Macaca mulatta: one gene and its partners. The protein of the gene in region 1 interacts with the protein of each later gene in a pairwise test. Links are inferred from orthologs where the notes say so. Each region holds a gene or a part of one and is shown on either strand. Other genes may lie near its edges.

The links.
Region 2: the proteins of DDI1 (region 1) and KLHL42 interact in binary tests that used the Homo sapiens proteins (3 or more experiments, as listed by UniProt). The two-hybrid records come from large-scale screens. The link is inferred for Macaca mulatta from reciprocal best matches to the Homo sapiens genes DDI1 and KLHL42.
Region 3: the proteins of DDI1 (region 1) and CYGB interact in binary tests that used the Homo sapiens proteins (3 or more experiments, as listed by UniProt). The two-hybrid records come from large-scale screens. The link is inferred for Macaca mulatta from reciprocal best matches to the Homo sapiens genes DDI1 and CYGB.

What each region holds. Positions count from the first base shown.
Region 1 is NC_133419.1:104,893,120-104,896,865, reverse strand, and holds the start of DDI1 (protein DDI1 homolog 1), read right to left. Parts: upstream 2,386-3,746; 5' UTR 2,145-2,385; coding exon 954-2,144; 3' UTR 1-953. UniProt on the Homo sapiens protein: Probable aspartic protease. Seems to act as a proteasomal shuttle which links the proteasome and replication fork proteins like RTF2. Required, with DDI2, for cellular survival following replication stress.
Region 2 is NC_133416.1:30,134,333-30,138,078, reverse strand, and holds the start of KLHL42 (kelch-like protein 42), read right to left. Parts: upstream 2,480-3,746; 5' UTR 2,440-2,479; coding exon 1,568-2,439; intron 1-1,567. UniProt on the Homo sapiens protein: Substrate-specific adapter of a BCR (BTB-CUL3-RBX1) E3 ubiquitin-protein ligase complex required for mitotic progression and cytokinesis. The BCR(KLHL42) E3 ubiquitin ligase complex mediates the ubiquitination and subsequent degradation of KATNA1.
Region 3 is NC_133421.1:86,289,508-86,293,253, forward strand, and holds the start of CYGB (cytoglobin), read right to left. Parts: upstream 2,313-3,746; 5' UTR 2,221-2,312; coding exon 2,078-2,220; exon of another isoform or gene 1,970-2,077; intron 1-1,969. Other genes in the region: photoreceptor disk component PRCD, read left to right, coding at 2,476-2,626. UniProt on the Homo sapiens protein: Probable multifunctional globin with a hexacoordinated heme iron required for the catalysis of various reactions depending on redox condition of the cell as well as oxygen availability.

The DNA of each region.
Region 1 (3,746 bases):
CAAATGTTATTTGAACAGTGAACACATTTGTTCAAACAATATTGATGTAGCAGCAGCTTAATGTATAAAGCAGATTTTTACTTTAAAAAAGCGAGAGAGAGATGATCTAGTTGCAATGAGTATTAGAGAACCTGGACCACTGCCTGTGCCTACCTCTCACTCCCACTACTGTACAACTTGACTCCCAAGAAGTACCATAATTTCTTTTTTTTTTAAAAAAAATCTAATTTATTGCCTTTGTTTTACAGTGAGAGTTTCTTTGAATGCAGGGGAAATAGAAAATTAATGTAGCATCCTTGGAGATAAATCCACTTTCTCAAATGTGGCAAAAATAGTCTTTAGCTGTGGATTGCAGAGTGACTGCAGGGGATCCAAGAGAAGGGAAGGTGTAAATATGAGGAAATTGGTCCTTATGCTGCCCCAAACAGACATGTGTAAGTATTAGTTAACATCACAGTGTAATTGACCCACCATTTCTAATGCCTTTCCGAAAGAAAACAAAACCTGTGAAAATGGGCATATTTCAATATAAAGAATTGTTAGTGCCGATGTGAAATAGTTTTATGTGGATGCCTTGTAAGGTCTGCAGCCATAGCATTTTTCCAGGGAATTCTACAAAATAGCAATAATTTGAATAAGCCACCTGTAATCTGATAGGATAGTGTCTCTAAAGGAAGAAGCTGGTTTTCTTTTTCATGGATTATCTGGAAATCAGCTGGAGCCTCCAGAGCCTTCCCAGGATGTCTTTCAGTGATCTCTGGACAAGGGAAATGGAAGAGGGACCAAGACCAAGGAATCAGGATTGATGTAGTTACCCATCTGAGAACGTAGTCCCAAGGCCAGGTTTAGTTGTTACTGATGATTTTTAATGATTACATTGCCAGTGAGCTCTTACTGTATAATTTCCGGGGACCTGAGCCTCCCTCAAGGTGGTGACATATTTATAACGTGCTTTAATGCTCTTTTCGTCCTGAATCCATGACCGAATGTGTAATTTCCTTGTCCGAAGGCTCATCTTTCCCATTTACCATCCTAGAGCATAAGGGCAACTCTCCCTCAGGAAGAAAGTAAGTCTGCGTGCCAGTGGTGCCGATGACCAGCACATTTTTCTTCAAATCGATGGAACATTGATGTCTCCGGAGCATATCTAGGCCTAGAAGCATATCCATGGGTTGATCCTCAAGTATGGAGAAAGAGCACTGTAAGAAATCACCTTCAATTTGAATCTGAGCTAGATGAACACGGCCAATAATTCTCTGTGTGCCCACTCCTTTAGCAACCCCAGCCCACCGTCGGTCCACCAGCCTCATGATGTTACATCGCTCGGCACAAGCCTGGCTCATAATGGTCATCTGGGCGCCAGAATCAACAAAAGCCTTCAAAGGATGCCCATTCACTTTGCAGTTAATATAGAGCATCGTCACTTGTCCGAAACTCTCGGGGGCCTCTTCTATCGCTATATTCATGTTTTCTTCAATGTTCTGCTGCCTGATTTCCTCTTCTATTTTGGCCTGAGCTTCCCGGTCCAGGGGGTCGGCCGTGTAGAGATGAAGCCTCTCTTGCTCTCTCAAGGCCTTTTCCCTTTGCTGCGCCATCAGCACCTGAGAAAAGGTCTCAAGGCTTCCGCTGAGCAGGGCTTCCGCCAAGGGGGGGTTGCGTTCCTTGAGCAGCGACAGATCGTGCGGGTTGGAGAGCAGCATGCTGCGGATCAGGCCGGGGCTGCCCAGACCTTGCGGGACGCCCACCGTCTCTCCGGAGGCCAGGCCGTGTGACCGCTGGGCGGCGGGTGTGCGCTGCTGCTGCTGCCCTGGGTGCTGCGGGCGGGAGCTGGACGTCCCGGGCACCGCAATGCCGCTGAAGTCTATACGAGGCTGGTTCGGGGCACGCCCTGGAGCCCGGGGTCCCACATTGTCCTTCTGCAGTAAAACCACGACATCGCCATCTTTGAGGCCGTAGGAGCCCAGGGAACAGTGGTCCTCGATGAGGAGTCGCTCCATGTGGATGATCTGGATCTCTTCGGCGGGGACTCTGGACTCCGCCTCGCAGAGGACCTTGAAGTTTCGGAGCTCAAAGTCGGGGCTGACCTGGAGGGAGAAGGTGGCCTCGGAGAGGTCCCTCCGCACGCAGTACACGGTGATCAGCATGGCGAGGGCCCAGGCGGGCCAGGCGGGCAGAGGGCATGGGCGGCTCGCTGGCGGGCTGGGGCGGGCCTGCGTCGTTGGCGCCGCTGCTCCTCACAACTCCGTAGGTCAGGACCCCTCGGGCTCATTCACCTCTCAGAGAGGAGCGGACACTCATCTGTCTGGGGGCTGCCTCCCAGCCTCAGTGCCTGCCGTGTGGCCAGGTGGAGCCTTGAGGTAGCACGTTGTGTTCCAAAGTCCATTTGTAAGTGCGCGGTTTGGAACCTAGAATGCCTACTCCCATGGAAACACAATGGCTCAAAGCTGTCAGGTTTCAAGGCCAGCCCTTCGAAGCCTATTTAACACATGATATGAAAGAAATGACCTCAACACATTTTTTTTTTTTTTTTTTTTTTTTTTTTGAGACAGGATCTTATCCTGTCACCCAGGCTGGCGTGCTGTGGCATGATCACAGCTCACTGTAGCCTCGACCTCGTGGGCTCAAGCAGTCCTCCTTTCTCAGCCTCCTGAAAAGCTGGAACTACAGGCACAATCTACCATGCCCAGCTAATTGTTGTATTTTTTTTTTTAATAGAGACGGGGTCTCACTATGTTGCCAGGGCTGTGTTTTTTTGTTCGTTTGTTTTTTAATAGAGACGGGGTCTCACTATGTTGCCCGGGCTAGCCTCCGACTCCTGGGCTCAAGCAATCCACCACACTTCGGCCTCCCAAGGTGTGAGCCAATGTGCCTGGTTTTTCAATACTTTCTAAACAGCATATTATCATTCGTTTTGTTCATATTAGAGTTGTATTCTTTGTACTTTTGTTTTTTCCCCAAACAGTAAGGATTTGTTTCTTGGCGTGGCAAGTACCATCGTATGTGCACAGTAGGAAAGTCAGACTTGGAGCCTGCCCTTGAGGAGCTCACATTTCTGGAAAGGGATAGACAGGTGAATGGGTAATCACAATACTAAAGGCAAAACTTTTACAAAGACATTTTCAGGGTACTTACTGCCTTCAGTATCACCAACAGAACAGAGGATGTTTTCCTAAGGAGGAGACAAGCTGGATGTTGAAGGATGAGCATGTTTCAGGTGAAAAGTGGTCTCACTCCAAAGGAAAGCCGTTTCATGTTACAAAAGCAGGAATTTATGGCAAGGACTGTTATTTCTAGAGAAAGATGAGACATTTTATGCAAGAAAATAATGTACATGACTTTGAGTACCAGGATATGAAACTGGAAAAAAATTAGTTGGAGCCAATGTATGAAGTCATATATGAATCTAAGGAGTTTAAATATTAAATATTATCAATTAACAATAATTCCCCCTCCAAAAAAGAAAGAAAAAAGAAGTAAGGAATGAAAGGAAAGGGAAAAGATTTGAAGCAGGTATTTGTGATTTTTTTTTTAAATTGACTTAAGGAAGAGGCTTCTTGCAACACATGGAGGACATAACGTGGCAGGAGGGCCAGGTAGCAGGCTTTTCTGGTGGTTCAAAGAGGGAGCTGTTGCTAGAGTGTGGAAATGTCAGGAGGACTGAAGCCAAAGCAGTAGAGAAGAAACATGTTTCTTGAGTAAAATGGACAGAATGTGCATACATACCCCTTGGAGGTGGGGAGTGTAAA
Region 2 (3,746 bases), on another chromosome or scaffold:
TTTCAGGGGATGAAAAGGGCCTTCCTAGAAAAAAGACAAAGACTACCAAGGATGTATGAAGGGAAGAAAGAACTGTGAGGAACTGCGGTACTAAGGATGGCCTGGTGAGCGTCAAATGATGTGTAGCTGGAGGCATGCAAGAGGAGACAGAGAACTCAGGGCCGCCCACCCCTAATCAGACCACCACCCATAGCCACACAATGTTTCTTTGTTGTTTCAATTACAGCGCATAGAATGTTTTAAAATAACACTTCTGATACCAAATTTTAAATATGGTATCATCTCAATGGTGCAAATAATGCATTAAAAATGGGCTGGCAGGAAATATGCCAACCTGCAGTTACTGCCTCTAGGAAGAACGAGTGGTAATAATCATCTTTTTGCTTCTTCATTCTTTTCCATTTTCTAGTTTTCTGTAACCATGTATTATCAGGGAAAAAAGCATACTTTTCAAAATGAATTCCATATTATAGGAGAAATAAAGCCAGTTATTTCCCCAAATAATCCCTGGCCAAGGAGGACCCTCGAGTCAAATAGATAGATATATAAAGGATTCTCTGTTACTGTTAAGACTTCCTTCGCCTAGCTGTGAGTTCCCCAATTCCTTGCTCCACACTTCAGGACCAGGACCCTGTGAGGATTGAGATGGAAACACGTGGATGGGAAGAAAGGGTATTTTCATTCTTTCTTGAGTTACATTGATTCTCTTCCCTGCTTCTGAATGACTCTGAGGCCTCCTCGGCGCTACCGTCTTTATTTCCTACCATCTCTTCCTGTATATGCTCTTTGCTCTTGTTTTCATATTCCTTCCCTGGTTCGTTTCCCTTCTCCCCTCTCATCCCACTCCTCAAGCTCCTCCTCTTCCTTTCTTCAAGTCACCCATATTGGAGGCAGGAGGGATTTGCAGGATGGGAGGGGGAGAAGGTTGGGTAAATGAAAATATTCCAATTCTATAGTTGAACACTTCCAGGCTCAAGCTTTGGGTCATGACGATGGCTGTCCAGGGAAGGAAGCAAAAGAGAAGATAAAAAATAAGAAAAGCAACCCCTATTGCAAATGTTAATACATTTCCAGTGATTATCTCTTGGTCATGATGGGTGTCACAGTGTGAAAGACTCTCTGTTGTCACAGTCACTGACAACAGAAAAAAATCCCCCAAAGTCAGTGTCACAGGTTACTGTCCAGTGTGTCATTACCATCAGGATCGAATCCTAAAAACTAAGAAAAATTTTTTTAAAAATTAAGGAGCAATTTTCTTTTAAAGTATTCTTATAGGAAATCACGACATCTTTTTTCACAAGAACAGAGACAAAGAAAGCAGATTCACCTAAAGGCACAATACCTGCCAAAAAACCACTCCACTACTTGACCTCACTGGGGAGTTCCTCTTCGCAATTTCTTAGTTCACTGGGAACTTTGCCAGCACCAAGGCCAACAACATTCCTGAAGATGTCATTTCCACCTCAGCACACCCTCCCCTATTTACTGGCTCAGTAAACACCGGGCCCATGAACTAATGAACAAGTGAATGAATGAGAAGGCAGCAGCACTCTGCCGGGGTGCTTACCTCTTCTGGTTCATGGAGGCCACCTGGAGCCACTCGTTGGTGCTGGGGTTGTAGGAATGCGCAGCAGAGATCTCCTGGCTAGTGATCCTGTACCCGCCCACTATGAAGAGGTAGTTGTCCAGGATGGCAGACCCATAGCCCCTGACATTGACCAGGTCGGGAGGAAGGTTGTTGGCCAGCGGGAACCAACGCTCAGTCATCTCTTCGTACCTGAGCATGGACGGGGGCTCCCCCTGGTAGGGGTGAGGGGCCAGGGGTCCCCCCAGGAAGTCCCCGAGGGCCACGAGGACAGGAGTCCCAGTCATCCGGGCCTCCCTCAGCCTCTGCTTCAGGCTGACATCCCCCGGAGCTTGGGGAGGAGACCCCAGGAGGTGGAACTGGGGCTTGCACAGCACCTCGTGGAAGTGGACGACCATGAAGCGCAGGCAGGCCTCCTGCAGGTCGGGCAGCCCGTACACCTGCGCCAGGCGGTACATCTCCAGGCAGTTGTTGAGCCGCACCTGGGACAGCAGCAGCTGCAGCAGAGACGTGACCTGCAGGAAGGAGGCCGCCTCCACCAGCTCGGACAGCAGGCTCACCTCATCCATCTCCTCATCCTCGTCCACCCCGCCGCCCTTCTCCCCGCGCGGGCCCAGGAGCCAGCCTTCGCGGGCCCCGCCGGCGTTGATGAAGTCCAGCACCAGCCTCAGGCCCGGCGCGCTGAGGCCGCGCAGCTGCTGCACCTCCGGGCCGCCGGCCTCCTGGCTCAGGGCCTCGCGCATGCCGGAGCGGTAGAGGGCGCGGAAGTAGTCGCTTTGCTCGATGAGCTTCCTCTTGCTCACCGGGTAGCAGCGATCCTCCAGGCGGATCTGCACCATCTCCTCGGCCGACATGGCTGGGGGCCCCGGGGCGGCGGCGCTCACCGCCAGATCTGCGCGCCGGCCTCCCCGCCCCCACGCGCGCGCCGGTTCCGGGCGGGGCGCCGAGGGATGGCGGCCCGGGAGGAGCGGCGAGGTGAGGGCCGCCCGCGCTCGCCCGGCCTCTCCAGCGGCCCCTCCTCCCGGGGCCCGCTCCCGCGAGGCGGCGGCTCTGCCCTTCTCCTTTTCCTCAGCGCCAAAAAAGGGCCGGCGGAGCGCGCCGGGCGTCCTCGCGCGGGCTCTCCCAGGCGGCGCCAGGCGGGAAGGGAATCCCAGCCCCCAGCCCGCAGCCTTCTCCCCGGCCGCCCTTCTCACTTCCGCCCGCGGGACCCCGGCCGCCGGCCTGACCTGCAGGCTGGATCCGGCCCTCGGGGAGGCCCGGGAGGCTGCGGGCCTGGGCGCCCCGGCTGCGGACGCGCAGCTGCGGGAGGCGGAGGGCGCGCGTCCCCGCAGCCTCTCGGCACGCCCGGGGCGCGCGGCTCCGCCGCCTGCCAGGGGCTGCAGCGATGCTCCGGGGTACCCCAGGGAGAAGAAATTAGTTTTCTCTCCCACGCTGCTTTACACGGGCTAAAGAAAAAGAAATGAACGTGGGAGGAAAGAGGAGGCAGTCTCTGGTCCAGGGAGACAAAAAGGCATCAAATCTAGGATCGTCCTTCTGGCCCAGTCCGGCATCGAGTGTCAGTGGGCTGAGGCAAGCAGGCAATCTGTGGACATGTTGGTGGCAATGTTGGTGGCACGTAGAGCTGATTCTCTGGTAGGGTCGTCGCGTAGGAGCCATCTTACAGGAGGTCCAGGCAGATGGCAGCAGGTTCTCAGAGGAATCGGGTTGGGAGGCAGGGGACCTTGCATTTGCCACTGGGGCCCGTTGTTCTCCCTAAGTTATTAAAAGAAAGATGAAAGCGCAGTTCGACTAAATAAAGTTACATCACGTGGCTTCTGGTTTTAAACCATGTTTTCTATGAGCCATTGCTTGTCTACTTCAGTCTGCTTGGACTAGCCATTACGGAATGTTATACTGTCGCAAAAGATCTGACAAAATCAGCTCATAGATGTCTGCAAGAGGTAGCTTTTCTTGTCACCCCGTTTCTCCACCTACCCTGCCCCCATCATCTGAGGACTATTAAGAGAGATCACACGTTCAGTTTGGCTGAGCGCGATGGCTCACGCCTGTAATCCCAGCACTGGGGGAGGCCAGGGTGGGTAGATCACGAGGTCAGGAGTTCGAGACCAGCCTGGCCAACATGGTGAAACCCCGTCTTTACTAAAAATACAAAAATTAGCCG
Region 3 (3,746 bases), on another chromosome or scaffold:
GGCCTTGACCTTGAGGATGTGTACGTTGTGTGTGGGAAGACAGGGTGCTGTGTCAAGACTGACGGGCCTAGGATCTGAGGAGGGACCTTCAGGAGCCCTTATGCCCCTTTCCTCCCCTTCCCCCACTGCCCAGGCCCTGGACAGAGACAGGAGGAGAGAAAAAGGAAAGCAAAGCCCTGCGGTGCTTGGGCTGGCAGGGAGTGGCTGAGACAAAGCTGGGCCAGGCTGTCCTGGGGCTGGGCTCTGGTCCACACAGAAGTGGAGTCAGAGTAGTGAGGGGTTACTCTGGGCATTGAGCGCATTGGTAATGACCTCCCCCAGCCCAGGCCCAGGCCCCTCTGCGAGACAGGAGTGGGAAACTGGAAGAGGGATGTAGAGAGAGAAAGAAATCCTTGCTGGAAACTCGGACTGCCCAGACATGGCCCTGGTCTCAGTGTTTCATTTCCCCCTTGGCATGTGCCCTTCCCTGGTCCCCTTCCTGGGGAGGGTCAGTGGTGCCCCGAGATGCGGATGGTGAGCCCTTCCTCCACGTATCCGCACAGGTACATGGCAGGGGTTGGGACAGAAAACCTCCAAGGTCCTGAAGACCCTGCCTCACTTCATGGTGACACATGAGTGTGCCAGATGCATGCGAGGCCGGTGGGCTGCAGGTGCTGACACGCGGCTGACGGCGCCCTCCGAGGATGCAGTCTGGCGCGTCTGTGGCTCTGCTACCCACTGTGTGCTTGTATGGGTGCCAGCACGTGTGGGGATCGGTGGTTCCGAGCGTCTGAGGCCCTAGTATCCCAATGTCCCTCTTAGCTTCCTGCCACTCCCAGCTGTGTTGCTGGGCCTGGGGGCTGCTGAGATAGCTGCCCTATCCTCAGGAGCGCTCCTGTAACTCCTTAGAACCCTTAGAAAGGCTTCCTGCTCTTTTTCCACCAAAATCTGCTTCTGAGTTGGAATCAGGGCATATCATGGTGGAACTGGATAGGTCCCAGGCTTGGGAGAGGCCACAGGGAGAAGAAGCTGGAGACGGAGCTGGCCTGGGAGTCAGGCATGCACTAAAGCTGCCCTTCCAGAGCGAGGCTTCACCCCGTCTGCACATGACAAGGCTGCCCTACTCTGTCCTAGATTTGACCACTTTCCTCTCCCAAGAACAGGGGCTTGAGGGTGAGCATGGTCTGGGGCTCCTCTGCCTGCACCCCCAGGGACCAGCACGTGTGGGAAGAGAGCATGGATTTGTAGCTAGAGTCAGTGACTAGCTTTCGAGGCTTGGACACATCACCTCTATGAGGATGGTGTGTGTGCTCTATGCGCAGGTGTGTGAAGAATGGGGTGCTCTCTGTTTGTGGGTTTCTCAGGGGCATGTGGTGCCTGAATGACCCCTAAGCCCAAACCACTGCATTTCCTCCCTAGGTGGGGGGTTTTAGAGTTAGGCCCTGTCTCCTCAAGCTTCTCTCTTCTTCCCCTCACCCTCCTAACTCAGCAGGGATTGTATCCTAGGGGACTGTTTGCTTCTCCACTCACCTGTGCCTGCCCTGGGAGCTCCTGCTGGCCCATGCCGTCCAGCAGGAAGAGGGCAGCTGGGAACACTGGACCCCCGTGCTCTCCTCCTTCTCAACCTCTGCTCTTTGCTCTCTGTTCTTCCAAGAGGCTTTGAATCCGGCAAGCGGCGGAGCTGGAGACAGGGGTCTGCTCCTCTTTGTCCCCCTTCTGAGTTGAGCCTCGGTTTTCCCATCTCTAAAATGGGGAGCCCCTGCTACTCCCTTTGAAAGGCCAGAAAAATGTGTGCGTCTGACAGCTTGGCTGGGTGTCTGGGGTCGCTGGCCCAGCAAGGAGTTCTGAGGCCGGGGAGAGGAGGAGGACCGAGGTGCTCTCCTGCATCTGGTTCCTAGTTCCTGGTGAGCACCGCGCCGGAGCCAGGGAAGGCTCACCCCACGGCGCCCCACGCTGCCTGCCCCGCCGACCTCGGACCGGCCCCATTCGCGGCTGGGGAGGTGGCGCTGGAGCTCGGACCCGGGCCCAGCCCGCCTCTGCCCGGAGCCGCTACCGCCCTCCCTGCCCAGGGCCCGGCCGGGCCCCGGGCGACACCTACCTCACCAGGATGGCCACCCCCACGTCCTCGCAGTTGGCATAGAGCCGGGCCCACGTAGCCTGCACCGCCTTCCTCTCCGCCTCGGACAGCTCCTCGCTCCGCTCCCTGCGCTCGATCTCCATCTCGCCTGGCACTTTCTCCATGAGGAGCTCCAAGCCCAGCCCGGCTTTGCTCGGCGGCAGCGGTGGCGGGGCGCGGGGCGCTGGGCGCGGGGCGCGGGGCGCCGGGAGCCGGGGCCGGCTGCGTGCGCGGCGGGCGGGCGAGGGGTAGAGCGCGGAGGGAGGGAGCGTGTGTCTGTGCGCGCCGGGTGTGTGTGTGTGTGCGTGCGTGTGTGCAGGGTATATGTGCGGGGGGCGGGGGACCGCCAGCGGGGGGGCGGGGATGTGGTCTGCTGGAAAATGTTTAAAAAAACAAATCCTCTCCAAACCCCCAGCCCCGTGTGGGTGAGCCAATGCCGGCAAGGTGAAGGCTGCTCGGGGTGGGGGCGATGCGACTGCCGCCCGCCCACCCGCAGGCCACGGCGGAGTTGCACCGCGGGGCGGGGCTCGGGTAGGTGTGGCCGGGGCGCTGGGGGTCCCCGGAGGAATGGGCGGTCACGCGGCGCTGGGCGGCGCGGGCCGCACAGGAGTGCGCCGGGGCGGGCGCGAGCTGGGAGCGCTGGGTCCCGGGTCCCAATGCTTGCGGCGTCGCGTGTGTGCGCGTGCAGACCCTTCCTGCGGCGGGGAACTGACTTAAAGTCCAACACTCCCGAGCTTTCGCGGCAAGGCCGACCGCCAGCCCGCCCGTGTGGGCGAACGCGAGCCCCTCCGGCGGCCGCCGCGGACCGAGCTGGGCTCCCCTCGCCCGGGCCTCTCCCCCAGCCCCCGAGCCAGCAGCTGGGGGCCGCGGCGCCACTCCCACAGCTCTGGACGCCCAGGCTCTGAGGGGTTAGCACGGGTCGTTCCCCCCACCCTCCTACCGCCCCGGCTGTCGGAACTTGAGCGCACCTCCGACCTCGGGCGCCAGAGGCCTGCTCCCCCTTTCCTACCCCCCAGCACCGCCATGCCCTTGGTGCACGCACGCGGCGGCGGCGGCCAGAAGTCCCCCGTGGCTTATGAATGACACGGACAGGCAAGAACCAGGCGCTGCCCTGAATTCTGGCCCAGCTGGTGGCGGAGGAAGTCCGGAGAGGCACCGGATAGGGCAGAAGGACCTGGCAGTCGAAAAGTCTTGAGGAAGCCGCAGGCCGCTGGGGACACCTCAGCCAGCACCAAAGGCCCCATTCTGGGCCTAGGGGAAGCAAATCCTTCCTCTTGGTGGGCCCTGTCCAGGGCAGTGTGAGATTGGGCCAGAGGTGGGGGAGAATCCCATGGTGGCTGCCCTGCAGCGGCTGCTCAGTCCTGGGGACAGCCTGAGGCCAGACAGGACCTGGCAGTGTCAGGAAGAGATGTCACTCAGGCTCCCGGTGACCCTTGTCCTCGCTCAAGACTTGATGTCCCATTGCCCGAGCATTGCTAAGGGTTGGCTCTGCGCTTTCGCTATGGTTCGTGTATTTATTCTTAAAATCTGACTTTAAGGTCCGGGGGAGGCAAGGAGAACTCACCCTGGCCAGCCTCAGTTGCAGCCTGGGCCCTTCCTGGGAGCTCAGGGTTCAGGTGCCTGGGGGACCTTGGGGCAGTGCCTCTGACAC